2 linked regions of the Neurospora crassa OR74A genome follow. The protein of the gene in region 2 interacts with the protein of the main gene of each other region in a biochemical or structural test. Links are inferred from orthologs where the notes say so. Each region holds a gene or a part of one and is shown on either strand. Other genes may lie near its edges.

What was found. The genes of interacting proteins can lie anywhere in the genome.
Region 1: the proteins of iap-1 (region 2) and tim9 form a complex in vitro, tested with the Saccharomyces cerevisiae proteins (2 studies listed by BioGRID, with this or other methods). The link is inferred for Neurospora crassa OR74A from reciprocal best matches to the Saccharomyces cerevisiae genes YME1 and TIM9.

What each region holds. Positions count from the first base shown.
Region 1 is NC_026503.1:2,971,848-2,979,109, forward strand, and holds tim9 (mitochondrial import inner membrane translocase subunit tim-9), read left to right. Parts: upstream 1-3,463; 5' UTR 3,464-3,635; coding exon 3,636-3,643; intron 3,644-3,765; coding exon 3,766-3,835; intron 3,836-4,248; coding exon 4,249-4,437; 3' UTR 4,438-4,617; downstream 4,618-7,262. Other genes in the region: NCU00199 (hypothetical protein), read right to left, coding at 5,620-7,065, 7,121-7,262. UniProt on the Saccharomyces cerevisiae protein: Mitochondrial intermembrane chaperone that participates in the import and insertion of multi-pass transmembrane proteins into the mitochondrial inner membrane.
Region 2 is NC_026502.1:976,204-983,912, forward strand, and holds iap-1 (intermembrane space AAA protease IAP-1), read right to left. Parts: upstream 6,094-7,709; 5' UTR 5,894-6,093; coding exon 5,867-5,893; intron 5,777-5,866; coding exon 3,713-5,776; intron 3,653-3,712; coding exon 3,212-3,652; 3' UTR 2,778-3,211; downstream 1-2,777. Other genes in the region: NCU10376 (hypothetical protein), read left to right, coding at 6,636-6,817, 6,932-7,709. UniProt on the Saccharomyces cerevisiae protein: Catalytic subunit of the mitochondrial inner membrane i-AAA protease supercomplex required for mitochondrial inner membrane protein turnover. The protease is probably ATP-dependent. Important to maintain the integrity of the mitochondrial compartment.

The DNA of each region.
Region 1 (7,262 bases), on a different chromosome or scaffold from region 2:
GAGTTACTACTATAGTTACTATTAGGGTTACTGCTATAGTTATTTAAATATATAGCTTTAGTATATTGCTTATCTTTTTTAGAAAGCTAACCTTCGCCTAAGATATTTCTCTTTGAATATTAATATTCGCTTCTATATTATCTACTATATAATCTATAGCGGAAGTAGCTTACCTGCAGAATATCTTCTTCGGTTAATTATTGTAATTTACTTTCTCTTTATCTTTAATAGGTATTTTAATACTTACTACCTTATTACTAGTAATAATAGTAATTGCACCTTAGAGCCTCTCGTATAATTTATAATTAAATATAATTTTATTCCTAAATTATTTAAAATAGGAATTGTACTATATTTTATAATTAATTATTATTATTTATAATAATAAATAAAATAAAAAATAAAGTACTAACCTTAATAAGTTCTATTTAGTCCTCTACTTTATATATATACTTCTCGTTATTATATTAGAGACCTATCCCTATTATTTTACTTAACTATTCCTAATATTTAAATTACTATTTAATAGCTTCGATTAATTTCTTTACTTTAATATAGTTATAGAATTCCTACTCCTCTATTGAATTATAGTTATACTTCTTTAGGAGCTCTTTGAAGATATATTCGAACGCTTCTTAAGAGTATATACTATTTTTATTAAGGTTATTAATATTATAAAGTTACTCGAGAGTAAAGAGTTTAACCTCCGGGGGGGTAATAGCCCGAAGTTTATAATTTCCCTTCCTAACCTTCTTTATTTTAGGGTTTAGTATTATAGCCTTCCTCTTTTTCGTTTTAGGGTTTAGTATTATAGCCTTCCCCTTCTTTATTTTAAGGTTTAGTACTATAGCCTTCCCGGCCTTCTTCATTTTAAGGTTTAATATTATAACTTTTCTAACCGCTTTAACAGCGATTTCGGTAGCTTCCTTAATAGCCGCTTCAAGATTATCTAATTTCTTTTATTCCTCTCCATTGAATTTATCCTAATCGTTATTTTAATTATTATTTTAATTATTATCCTAATCGTTATCCTAATTATTATTCTAATCGTTATCCTTATTATAATTTTCATTATCGTTATTCTAATCGTTATCTTAATTATTATCCTCGCTATAATCTTCATTATCGTTATCCTAGTCGTCTTTATTCTAATCCTCCTCAAAGGACCCGAAATCTAGAATTTAGTTATTAACTAAACGGTTAAATATTACTTAGGAGGCTTCTAAGCAACGGGGCCTATTAGTATTAATATTATTAAAGGAGGGGGATGGTAGTTGGGTAATAATAACCGATTTTTTAGTAGAACCCTTTTTAGTAGATTTATTCTAGGAGGTAATAGGGTTATTAGGTTAGGACTAAGTCCCCTACTTATTTTTTTAATACTTTAAGGTAAAATGAATAGAAGCGCCGCCGAACCTCTTACTAAAAGTGGCGGAGCTAGGCGACGATACCTTTTTATATTTTAGTAGTATAGTAGATAGAGGGTAATAAATTAAATTAATAAATAAAATAATTAATATAATTAACGGCTAACTATTATGTAATCGAGAAAGATAATAGATAAGACTATTAGCGATATATCTTTCTATTTAGTAGCTAATCCTCTACCTTTATACTTCGTTATTATATAGCAATCCCTATTCTTATTACTTTATATTAATATTACGCCTTCCGAATTAGAAACCGAAGTATAGAAGGTATTAACACTATATATAGTATCGTGATATTAATAAACCTTATACTGCAAATGCTAGAATAAGCGGGTACGCCGTATATTGGCCGTATGAGGGGGGTGTAGAAGCTTATACGGCGTATGTGAAAGGTAGTCCGAGCTTTGCCGTATGAAGCTATACGGTAACCTCCTTTGTACGGCAACCGTACGAGAACAAACGCAGCCTAACTACATACACTTTAGTGTGCTGTTCTCCAGAATTGAGGAGAGGGGAACTAGGCCACAGAGCGTCCGTCCCGTTGCAGCTTGACGACAAGACGACATTTGGTCGGCACAGAGGAGATGGTGAGACAAGCGGAACATGCTCATGTGGTCAAGGATGAGTTTCCCCCTCACTTCGCCAAAGACCAGGCATGCACATGTCATGCGCCACACTTGACAAGAGATGATAAAATGGCTTCGCTTCGCCGCCAGGTTCCGCAGTCGCGTTCACCGTGCGAAGAATTCCCACAGCTTCAGCAACCTTTTGTAGGTATCCTCAGACCCCAACTTTGAGCTTCGTAGCGTAGATATGGGCGAGTTCAGGCTCGGCTCATTGTACATATTCTCACCGCTTGATGAAATTTACCTGAGCCGCCTAGAAACATATCAGATTGCGATTCACCCCTTACCATAGCCGACGGACCGAGCTTTTGCCGCGACAAGGCAGCTCCACCTAGAGCCTCCAAGCCAAGTTGTGCGTTTGGGATGGTGGATGTATCAAAACCATAACGATTTGGGGGGGGGGGGGGGGGGGGGGGGCGGGACACATACAAGGCCACCTCAAATTGCCACAACGGCTTGAAAGTAGAAAAGCATGTTGTACCCATCAACTGCGGGTCTTGTTTCATCTTTCATATGCGGGCAAGACATATTCCTCCCTGAACACGAGATCCTTCCCGGGTGGACGTCATAGGCTGACTCTGGCTGAGGCTGCATGTAAGCCCACGATATGTACTGCTGTTGGTGTTTTTGGATTTCCGGGAACACACCAGTGCTTATAAGCACTTAAAAGGCGATGAACACTACTGCAGTAATGAAGAAAGAAGACGTCCGCACCACATCTCACTAACCGCAAATAACCGTCAATGGGAGAAATGGCTCACATCCCAGCACCTTTTTTTTTTTTTTTTTTTTTTCTTCTCACCACAAAGCCATGGCCAAAGTAACGAAGCCTTTCGGTAGTGACACAAGACACGGAGAGATAAAACAGCCCATTGGACATCGGTCCCTACGAGCCAGCGGACATGCCGTCGTTGTACAATACCATACTTTGCACACAGTCAGTCCTTCCCTTCACTTCCCCGCCCTGCTGAATGGTGGGTGATACAGGGACGAATTGCCGGAAACCTAATGGGGAGCAAGACAAAGGCAAAACCTCAGATAGCAGTACCAGTGAGGCTCTTCTATCTACCTATACATAGTAAATGTCTGTTTTTAGTAGTGATCCCTCCAGTTGGCGCCGTCTCCGAGAGGTTGTTGCCCTGTGTTGGATCGTAAGGAGTGATGTCATTCCTCACCGTTGGCGTCGGCTATGGTTGCAGTGAAGACTGTTGGTTGAGCTGCCTGCAGTTGTGCAGTGCAGTGGTAGTGTACAATGTTAAGAGCGAACGTTAGTAGCGCACAGACCTTCTTTGCTACTGTATCCCCCGGTCTTGCCAAGCCTTGCTGCCAAGCGCCAAGCATCGAGCTCTCTGCCGGGCGGTGAATTTTTAGAACTGCAGCTTCAATCCATCCGACTCGTTTCTGCCCGTCGCGCGCAGCGGGCCCTAGGTAGGTACGACATCGACATCTATCCATCCATCCATCCATCCGTTATCGATTCCACCTCTGCCAACCGACCAGGACCTTACATCCATACTACAACTCGAATTTCCTCAAGAGTTCGGAATCATCACCGAACCACAACACCAAATCGACAACAATGGATGGGTAAGCAAGAGAGCAAGGGAAACAACAGTCACCTTGTGTTTTTTTTTGTTTTTTTTTACGACAAGGAGAACAAGACTGGACACCCAAAACTAACGTCATCGTCAAACTTTCCATCAAAACAGACTTACAGCCGCCGAGAGCCGCGAGCTCGACCAGCGCCTTCAGAAGCGCCAGGTCAAGGAGTTTATGAGTGTACGTCGTATATACACACTTTCTTTCTTCGTTACACATTTGCGCCACCAATATTCTTCCATCTTCGAGTCGTCGCTACATCTTAGATCCAAACATAGCTACCGTCATCACCAATCTTTTATCCCCCGGTCTTCCACCATCCATCCCCCAACTATCCCATCTACTCGCACTTACTCGCAACCTGTTTCCCACCCCTCCTCCTCCTCCTCCTTCCTTTCCACCTATTTCCGAACTGGCATACCTCAATTTCCCCATCCATCCATTCTCCCCCTCCAACACCACCCCTCTCCACGCCTCTGCTAGCTCTCCCATCTATCTATCCCAAAACCAACCCACCAAACCTCTTACCAACATTCCCCCTCCCTTCCCTCTCTCTCTTCTTTCTTCTAACAAACAAACGAACAAACAAACAGGTCTTCGGTAACCTCGTAGACAACTGCTTCACCGCCTGCGTCGACGATTTCACCTCCAAGGCCCTTTCCGGCCGCGAGTCGGGCTGCATCAGCCGCTGCGTGCTCAAGTCCATGTCCACCCAGACGCGCCTGGGCGAGCGCTTTGGCGAGCTCAACGCTGCCATGACTGCTGAGATGCAGAGGCGGTAAAATAAAAAAAAACTACACTATACACTGTACTACAAGAAGGAAAGGAGAAAGGGGAAGGAAGGAAGGAAGGAAGGAAGGAAGGAAGGAAGGAAGGAAGGAAGAAGGGTTGAGGGGAAAAAAAAAAAAAAGACAAATGTGTATAAATAGGTTCAGTTCGGGAAATAAATTGGGTTGACGACGATGAGGCAGGTTGCGCATACATGCATGCGTACCATACACACATACATACATACCGTAAAGGATATTGCGAGTGAAGGTGTGCTGGTTGGGTTGCAGAATGAGGTGGTGAGGAATACCGGTTTTCCGTTGTGGATGAATATGGAAAGAAGAAGAAGAAGAAGAAGAAGAAGAAGAAGAAGAAGAAGAAGAAGGGGGGGGAGAGGGGGAAACGGATGGATGGTATTGAATACCTAGGATGGATGGTGTCGAGACGAGTCCTACTTAGTTTCTGCCAGCTTTGGCTAGAGGTAGGGAGGAAAGTTGAAGGTGCTTTTTGTCGACATCTACGGATATGACAATTTTCACAAAAAGCCTTTGAGGGGACAACGGAGGTAGCCGTTGTTGTTGTTGTTGTTGTTGTTGTACCTCTGGTAGTCGTGAAGCGTGATACCTACGGGGAGAGATCTGGTACGTGATGTGAGGTAACGAAAAGAGACTGAAGCGAAGATATTGGCACTAAAAAACGGATTTATACAAAAGTCAAGATGTTGGAATCTGGCTGTGTGCAATAATACAACAAATCTTTCTGCGTGGTTATATTGTGATTTGTGGGATTACATGGACAATAAACCTTCCTCTTACTTGATGACTAGAGGACGGGCGAGTCCCTCACAAAAGAACTTTCGAACTGTACGGTCGTCATGCGCATAGCCACCCAAAAGAACATTTTTCAAGGGAAAACTGTCGAAATGCTATATGAACCTAAAACCGGCAATCACGCCCAAACATCAGCTGTGCAAAGTAACACACCACCTTTTCAATACCGCTTACGACTTGAAGTAAACAAAAACACATAAACTCAGTCTCCTGCTACACTGCCTAGCAATTCAACCATATCCCTTACTTTTACACACAATTATCCATCAGACAGACCGCAGCGTTCCAAAACACATCACCACCTTTCAACATCCACCCCTTTACCATCATCATCACTTCTTTCCCTCAGTGACTGTAAAACACCTTCTACGCACCCTCCTCCGCCTCACCCAACGCCAACACCTCCGCCACACCACTCAACATCTCCACCGCCTTCTCTTCCAACTTATTCTCGCACGCTGACCCTTCCGAAGCTTTCTGGCTCCTCCACTCCATCTCCCTCTGCCCCAAAGGCACCAACCGTTCCCTCAACACCTTCCTGCTCCCCAGCCAAAACTCCACATTCTCCAAAAGATTTTGTCTGGCCTCGTCTTCCCACCCTCCGGTAATCTGCGGGATGTCTCTTGCCGAGTGGCCGCCGACATTGGTCATCCTGATGACTGACAGGACGCGCGTGAGGAGGGCGAGGGAGTGGATTTCCGAAATGGCGGTTAGGGTGATGAAGCCAGACATGTCCTTGTTATTGTTGGGACCACCCGAGATAGAAACGGACTTGGAGGGCGAAAAGGTGCGGTGGGTGCCTGGTGCTTCGAACCGATCCACGGCCGCGCGCAACAGATTGGGGAATTGATTCAGCACGTAAGCGATTTCAGGGGCGATGGTGGCGCCCAAAGCACCGAGCATGTTGAGTAGTAAAGGCAGGATGCCCTTGGCCCATATGGAATAGCAGCGGGCGGCGCCAGCGTTGTCAGCTAGAGGGCCGACGTTGGGGCGGCGCATGAAGCCGGCAAGGTTGGCGGACGTGATGTGGTCTAGCAGGCCGTCGCAGGCGAGCTGCTCCGCGATGGCGGGCATGGCGGAGAGCTCAAGCAGGAAGAGCAAGGAAAGCTCGCCGTAAATTGGGTCGCCAGACTTGTCCGTCAGCTTGTCGGCCCAGGAGAAGAGCGAGGTGGCGACTTGGAACACGTCGTGGCTGGCCATGATGTTGAGGATTTGCACCTGGCACTGGTCAATGCCGGGGACGCTCAGGCAGGCTTGCAGGATCGCGGTGATGAGGGCAAGGTCCTCGGGCGTGGTGGGCGAGGTGGGTTCGTGCACTAGCGCGACGAGGGACCTGAAGGATTGGGCGACGACGCGGTCAAGGATGCTGAGAGTCAGTTGGGTGACGGCCACGGAGCTGCTTTCACCACCGGACTTCGACAAGGTGGAGGCGCCGGGCGCAGGGGCATTGACCGAGTGTCTGGTTCCACGGAGAGCGACGAAGAGGATCTTGAGGAGGGTGCGGAAATAGGAGATCTGATCCTTGTCGAAGGGAACCTCAATGTTATTGATGGCCCTTGTGATGCTGGTGAGCAGCTTGGTGCTGTCCTTAGGCAGGTGAGAAGCATCAGCGAGGCGTTGAAGAAGCGTCAAAGCCAGGTTTGCCCGAGCGTGAACCAAGCGGACGAAGATGTTGTCTGGCGGCTGAGCCCGTTGGTTGGCATCCAGACATTGCTCAGCGACCTGTGCCATCTGCTTGGCGACGGTTTCGTTCTTGGGGAGAAGCGAGACGCTAAGCTCTAGAAGTAGATACTCCCAAGCATGGAAAAGGGCCTTGAATTATTGTTAGTATTTGTTATCGCCCGAGAGGCAACACAGAAAAACTTACAATCTCAGCTTCCACCAAAGACAAGTTCACATTAGCCCTCTCCATCTCATGCTTGAAGCCGTTCTTGCGCGACCCATCCCATGCCACGTCGTAACTGAGCATCAAGTCGGCAAAATCCAAGGCATAGTAAAATTGGGAACCC
Region 2 (7,709 bases):
AATCTCATGGCATAACTGATCGGCCTCTAGTCGGGGCTTTTAGGGCGGGCGGTGACAGTTCGAGAAGGATCAATTCCAGTGTGGCGCGGCGGTGAAAGGAAAGGAAGCGAGCGGCCTCTTGGCTACACCATGCGTTCCTTGTTGACTTTGTTGGGCTGTTGTTGATACGATGAGAAAGCTGGAGCAGCCGAGGAGATGGGCGAGAGAGGTACTCGAGGCGGGCAGTTAGTTCTCTTTGCTGAAGCCGTTGCCCGTGTCTCTCTCTTAGTTCCGAGTCTCGGATCTCGGGGGGAGATGGGCGTTATGGTGTAGCTTCAGAGTTTAAGACCACGCCAACACCCTTGGATTCCTGGGATCTAAACTTGACCGGAGCTCCAAAATTTCCCTTTGTTAGTAGCTAGAGACTGAAAGAGGGTCAGCCGGGTCGGGTAGCAAAACAACACCCACGTCTCCAAGATAGGGGTTAGCGCGTCTTTGGCAGAGGCCAAGCAAGGGGTGGTAGGTACCTCTAACCAGGTGTCTCTCAGTGTTGGGAACTCGGGGGTTGCATCAGCACCAGCACCAGGGCACCAGCAGGGCAGCGTCCACGGGGCATCAACGGGCATCCAGTTGAAAGCATGGCACAGGGAAGCGATCATGGAAATCCAGCCAGGGTCGACAGGGGCAGGGTAGCCTTGCGGGGGGGGGGGGGGGGGGGCGGAAAAGAAAAGAAAAGAAAAGGAAGAACGGAAGAAGCGAGGACGGGAAGGGGGAATCCACACTAGAGGTAGAAACTGGAATATTCCACCCAGGGGAGGCCAGCAAGGGAAGAAGAGGTCAGTATGTAGTGTAGTATCATGGACTGACCTGATGGACCACGACGACACCCACTGCCTGAGAGGAAAGAAAGTCCAGTGTCAACAATGGAATGGGGAACTGAAATGATCGATGCACACCTGCATGGACGTAGTGTACCTATTTACAAAATCAAGCCAAAGACCCCGCTTTTCCTTTCCCGCCCATTCATCCCGTCTTGACACGGGGTTTGGCCAAACTGAGGTGTCTCACCAAAAGCACAGCAAAGGCACAGTAACCTACAGTGTCTTGTGCCTGCAATCCGGGCGGGGGTTAACATCCAAGACAGTGGGCCCGTGCGGCACAGCGCTGTGTGTACCTATATAGGTATGTATTGTGCGAGTAGTGTACTGTCTCTAACCATCCATTTAGCGCGCCGCACCATGCACACCCTGATGGACTGCAAGGGACAAAGCTCAAGCTCCCATCCCCATCAAAATGATTTGATACACTGTGACGCCCCAACCACGTCCGTCGATTGCACAACATCAAAGCGAGGAGACATCGAGATGAACTGCTTCAGGAACCTATAAAGTTCATTGGGTAGACGATCGGCCGGCCGTGGTAGCCGGTAACCCTTTTTTTCTCTATTTCAATTGTAACTCCAAGCACTAGACACTAGACAACGTCGAACCAGCACCTAGAGAAGAGGTAAGTAGGTAGGTACCTATTCCGGATGAAACTCTGAAACGAAGCGCCGGTAACAGAATTGATCGAAACTGGAGCCACCCTCATTACCGCCCCATGGCACACTACGACTCACATCCCCGACCATAATCACTGCAATATGATATCTGTTAGATCTTATTACTTACCTACTATAGAGGTACCTACCTGCCTTCTATCCATTCAACCAACCTTTTACTTTTTCTGGTATGTACGCAATGTACATACATATAACTAGGTTTTGGTCAGCCGAGATCCGATCGCTGGTCGCATCTGGAAACTTGATTGTTTAACAAAACGAAACATCCGAAGCCATCGCTTGCTGCCTTGGCAAGTCGTATTTTACCATGGACTTTCCACTCATGGTGCATGTTTATGCTTCCGTCCTCCGAGAGAGCACCGCACGAACAACTGAACTCAACGAATGAATGATTCTTTTTCCCGAGAACCGTGCCATCGTGACACCCGCCGGGACTGTGCGCAATTGTAAGAGCAAACTTGTCAGTTGTCACCACTTGAGGAACCTTTTTGAACTCAAGTAGTCTCACAAACAAACAAACAAACAGCGGAGAATTCAATGGGATATTTTTGGCAACTCAAATGTTTGATACTGTAGCTAGGTACACATCCAAGAACTAGAATAAGTGATCGACAACAGACCCATCTAGCTGTCTGTCAACAGAGAGGAAGATCAACTGAACATCAAACATTCCCTCCCGCCTGCCAACCTGCCTCGGCTTGCACATCCGGATGTTTAGCTCCGCCCGTGTAGCCGTCCAAGACCACTTGCAGCGAGGCACTCGAGGCTGAAGTCTGAATGCATAGTGTTGATTGACTTGCTTTTCAGCCTCAAGTAGCAGCCTTCGTATAAACTTTCCGCTTGTATTCAGTTGTTTTGGTAGCGTCCAAAGTCAGCTCCGAAGCCTCTGTGTTCCAGTACCAGAGTGGCTTGCTTGAGTGGCTTGATTGTCCTACGCCACGAGACATGATGCGCGATACATCATACGGAACAATATCGGAAAACACACACAATCACTCAGCGTGACTGGAGAGTTAGGTACATGCCAAATTGGGAGGGAAGCGGCCGTGAATGTTCAGGACAAAGCACCATATATTTTCATACATCAACTCAGCTTCGCTATAGGCAGACTGTTGCGGCTTACCTACACCCGACCAAGCCAGTAACTATATAAGAGCGGCAGTAGCCAACATCCTCACCATCCTCACCATTACCATCATCATCAACCATGGGATAACAAGAGGAAGTGGTAGCAAAAGTAAAAGTGTACTACTCCTAACACAACACACAAAAACGCCATCTAATGCCTCCATCCACACCTACTACCTTTATCCATCCTCCCATCCAATCTTCATTCTTCCTCGTCCTCATCAATTTCTTGGAAAAAGAAAGTGATGCGCTTTGTAAACCCAACATAATAACATGATAAGAATTAAAAAAAAAAAAAAAAAGACTAAAATACAGTTCATAAAGAAAGTGCCTGATTTGATACCTTAACCCCGCTACCCATTAGAATGGTGTTGTTGTGTGATGTGAGATTCATGCTTTTTGTGGTTTGCCCAACTCCCCAAAATCAGAGAAAGATTTCAGGCTTTTGTTTGTTCATAATTGATTTATAAGAACAAGTTATGTCCTGTCCCGCACCTTTACTTACACCCAACCCCCCACTCACTCAACTCACCTCTGCGCTCCTCACGCGGGCACAGGCGGCGGCGGGGCCGGTCCCGGGCCACTGTCACCCGGGGGCGGCACGTCGCCAGGTAGGGGTGGTAGGGGCAGGCCCGGCTCCAGGGTGTCGCTGGGCTTGGGAATAGCCATAGGCCCTGGCGGCACCGAGATGCGATCCTTCAACTTCTCTCCCCGAATCACCCTCTCAACTTCCTTCTTGTCCAGTGTCTCGTACTCGACGAGCGCCTTGGCCAAGTAGTCGAGTTCGTTCCTCTTGGAGGTGAGCAGGTTACGCGCACGCTCGTACGATTCGTCCAGAACTCTCTTCACCTCGGACTCAACCATCGCCCTGGTCTCGGAGCTGAGCTGGTTGTACTTGCGGAGGTACTCAACGGGGCCGAGCTTCTCAGACATGCCGAGCTGAGCAACCATCTGCCAGGCGGTTCTGGTGGCCATGTCAAGATCCTGAATGCCATGTTAGTTAACTCGTCTAATCAAGTGGAACAAGGGGAGGGGAGAACGTACAGCGCTAACACCGCTAGTCACAAGCTCGTTACCATAGACAATCTCCTCAGCGACCTTGCCGCCCATGGCACGGTCAATCATACCCAAGTAATCCCTGACAGTAAACGAGTGCTTGTCCATCTCAGGGAGGTAGGCAGTGTGGCCAAGAGTCTGGCCACGTGGAAGAATGGTGACCTTGTAAAGCGAGCTTGCGCTGTCCTTGGCGTAATATCCGACGAGGGCGTGACCAGCCTCATGATAGGCAGTCATCTCCTTTTCCTTGGCTGTGATAACCATACTACGCTTCTCAGCACCCATGATGACCTTGTCCTTTGCCCATTCGAAATCCTTTTGAGTAACAGCCTGAGCCTTCAACTTGCTGGCGTGAATAGCAGCCTGGTTGACAATGTTCTCCAGCTCGGCACCAGAAAGACCAGAAGTTCTGGAAGCAATAGCCTCCAGGTTGACATCGGCAGCAGCCTTGATGCGCTTGGCGTGGTGCTGGAGAATGGCCATACGGCCGCGGACATCGGGAAGAGAGACAACAACATTGCGATCGAAGCGGCCGGGGCGGGTAAGCGCCTTGTCAAGGGACTCGGGGAAGTTGGTGGCGCCGATGATGATTACACCACTGTTTTGCTCGAAACCGTCCAACTCGGTAAGAAGCTGGTTGAGAGTCTGACGTACGTAGGTAGCGTCCCTGGAGTTACGCCGGCCACCAATAGCATCAAGTTCGTCGATGAAAACAATTGAGGGAGCCTTGGCCTTGGCGGCGGCAAAGAGATCACGAACACGCTTTGCGCCAACGCCAACGTAGACCTCTTCAAACTCGGAACCGGACATGTTGAAGAAGGGAACGCCAGCTTCGCCGGCGACAGCACGAGCCAAAAGAGTTTTACCAGTACCGGGGGGTCCCACGAGCAACACGCCCTTGGGGAGCTTGCCGCCAAGAGTCGAGTACTTCTCAGGGTTGCGCAAAAAGTCGATAAGTTCCTGAAGCTCTTCCTTGGCCTCATCACAGCCGTGGACATCAGCAAAGCGAGCCTTCTGGTTCTCAGGCTTGACCTCGCTGGCCTCAAGCTTGCCACCGGGGCGCTTGATGCTGCTCAAGCCCTCGAAAACCATTGTGATGACGACCATGCTGAGATACGTGAAGAGAGTGAACCACATGAGAAACTTGACCCATCTGAGAGCGGAGCTTCCGAAACTTTCGTCAACTACGATATGCAGAGGACCCGTCTTGGCACCAGCAGCGATCGGCTTGACCATGGCCATGTTTCCACCAGTATGCTGAGCAGCAGCGGCAGTACCAGCGGCATGGATCTGGCTAGCGGTGAAACCGGAGGGGTGATAGCCATTGTTATCGACGGTGTTGTTCGCAGGCGTGTAGGGTTGACCGGTAGACATGGCAAGGGCTTGCTGGTAGATCTGGTCTACCTGCTCGTTCGTGGCGAAACGTCCAGACTGATACCTTTCGATAATGATAGCAGGCATGTTCGCCTTGAGAAGAGCCTGGTAGAAAGCATACTGAGCACCGGCGCTGGTTGGGAACTGGTTGGCAGCGGCCTCGCGAGCAGCCAGGAGGTTGTGCGAGAGACCACCGTTTCCAAAGCTGCGGACCTGGAGAGTGAAACCGAGAGAAGAGTGTACTGGCGAGCGGAAGAAGGACGGAATGCGACCGGGCTGGTGGGTGCTCATGGACCGAAGGGTGTTGACAGTGCCCAGGGGCCTCGACATGAGCGCCGAAAACGAGCGCCGGAAGAGGGGGTTCGCCATGGCGAGCTGGCGGGAAGACATGCTTGAGATTTCCGAAAAGATGTTTGTAGGCGAAGCATTTGCTAGACCCTGAGAGACAACGGGCTGGGGTAGAGGCGCAGTTCTCAGGAAGGCGGGCAGCGCCGAGGAGCTGGAAGCTTCGCGCGCGGGGGAGCTAGCAAGGGTGCGGGAGGCGTTCGAAGATGCTGTCGAGACGTTCGAGTTGTAGGAAAGCCGTTGTTGCGCCTTAAGAGAGGTCGGTAACCCGAAGGGAACGGTCAGGGTTGTCGCGATGGAAGGCCACAACTCGGTGGTTGCCGCCGCGATGGTCTGGCAGGCGCGCGGAGGGGTCAGCTTCATGGAAGAGGACGGCAACTTAAGGTACTAGCTAGTCTAAAAGACGGATTGCGCAAGACTTACCGGCAGCCCACTTGCGTGGAAAGCCATGGTGGATTGTTTACACCCACTCTCTCTCTGTTTGCGACAGACGGATGCGAAGGAGCGGAGATCTCACAATGACCAGGGCAAACCTAAAGTGTTGGTGGTGGAAATGACAGTACAATAGTCAGTGCCAGTCAGTCACTCAGTGGCGGACTGCAGCAGATGCAACTGAGTGGACGCGGCGGCGGCGGCGGAGAACGAAACGGTTGGGTGAGCAAGTTGATTAGCTGATCAAGGGCCATAGTGCCGCCTTAAATGCTGATGCCGCCGTGGCAGGTGGCAGCCGCTTATTCTGTAACGCAGAGTCAGTCGCTGTCAGTGTTCTCGCCACTTTGGACATCTGGCCTCCCGCACTGCTACACTAAAAGCTCGGTGCGCACATTGCCCCACAATGTTACGTAGTTCTTAGTTACCTAGGGAGCAATTATGCACTAACAGGTGCGCCGACAGCGCAGTCTCGACACGTGATTTGGCGTCTTACACGAGGAAAAGTCTCGTCGCGTCACGAAACTCGGTCTGTTCTGTTTGTTCACTTTGTGATTCGAGAGGCTCATGGACTGACTTAATCATAAACAACTTATTCATACACATGTTAGGTTCGAAACATACCTAGCCTACCAGGAGTACAAATACAGCCATTATTTTGAAATTAAGCTCACTTCTCAACAAATCACCACCTCCATTACTGAATCTGAAGAAGAAAAAAAATACAAGTAAACAAATCACCTCCTAAAGTGTGGAAGCCAAGATGAATCGCTCTATAGAACAGGCGCTCTTGTCACTTCTACCAACCCACAACACGACTCTCCCACAACCACTCGTCGATCTCGCCAGCTCACTCCTCGCCCAATCCCGCCATCGTGCAAGCACACTCAAAGCCGAAGAGGAGATTGCACGCACCTATGCCTGCGCCCACCTGGCATGTGACAGGTACGATACTGCATCTCATCATCTCGACTCATGCCTTCACATCTCATCTCGTCTCAGCCTTACTTCACCTTTTGTCTGTGACTATACAAAACCAACACTAACACATGCTCGCAGACTCAAAATAACCCTGAATCTCCCCCCCATCGACCCCCGCCCTCCCATTCCACCACGCATCTACAAGCGCCTCTGCTCCCACCTCTCCAATATCCTCCCCTCCACCTCTTCAACCCCCGGCCGCGGCGGTGGAACCCCCAGAAAAGCAGAACAAACAACCGCCGCCACTCCACGCAGCCAACGGACAGTCAAAACCCCTACCTCTCGACTTCGCGACCAGCAACATCGCGCTGATGACCTCACTGCCTCCCCCTCAGCAGGACGTAGCGCGAGGAGTAATCGATCAGCTGCTACTGGCAGGACGACGACTCCCGGCACTACTACTGGGCCAGGAAAAGAAAAACCCCTTCATCAATTCCGCGGCACACTCTTTCCCCGCAAGGATGGGACTTCCGGAGAAGGAGGAGGATTACCAGGATGGATGAAACCCACCCTCCGCTTTCTGCTCAAAGAACTCGGTCCGTCACACATCGGGCCAGTGGTCATGTCAGGCCTTGAATCCATCGTTGCCCCGCGTGGTCAGCGGACCGAGGACGAGTGGGTGAATGCGAACTTGGTATCACTGTTGGGCGCGCTATACCTGTTGGTCTGGCGCGGAGTTACCTGGCCCGGATCGGATATTGACGAGGGCAAGTACTTAGCGATGAGAAAAAAGGTCGTGGCGGCGCTGAAGAAGGCGAGGGAGAATGTGAAGGTGGCGGTTAAGCTTGGAACTGGTAGGGAGGAGGAAGAGGAGCAGGATGAAGAGAAGGTGTGGGAGGGTTGGGTGGATGATGGC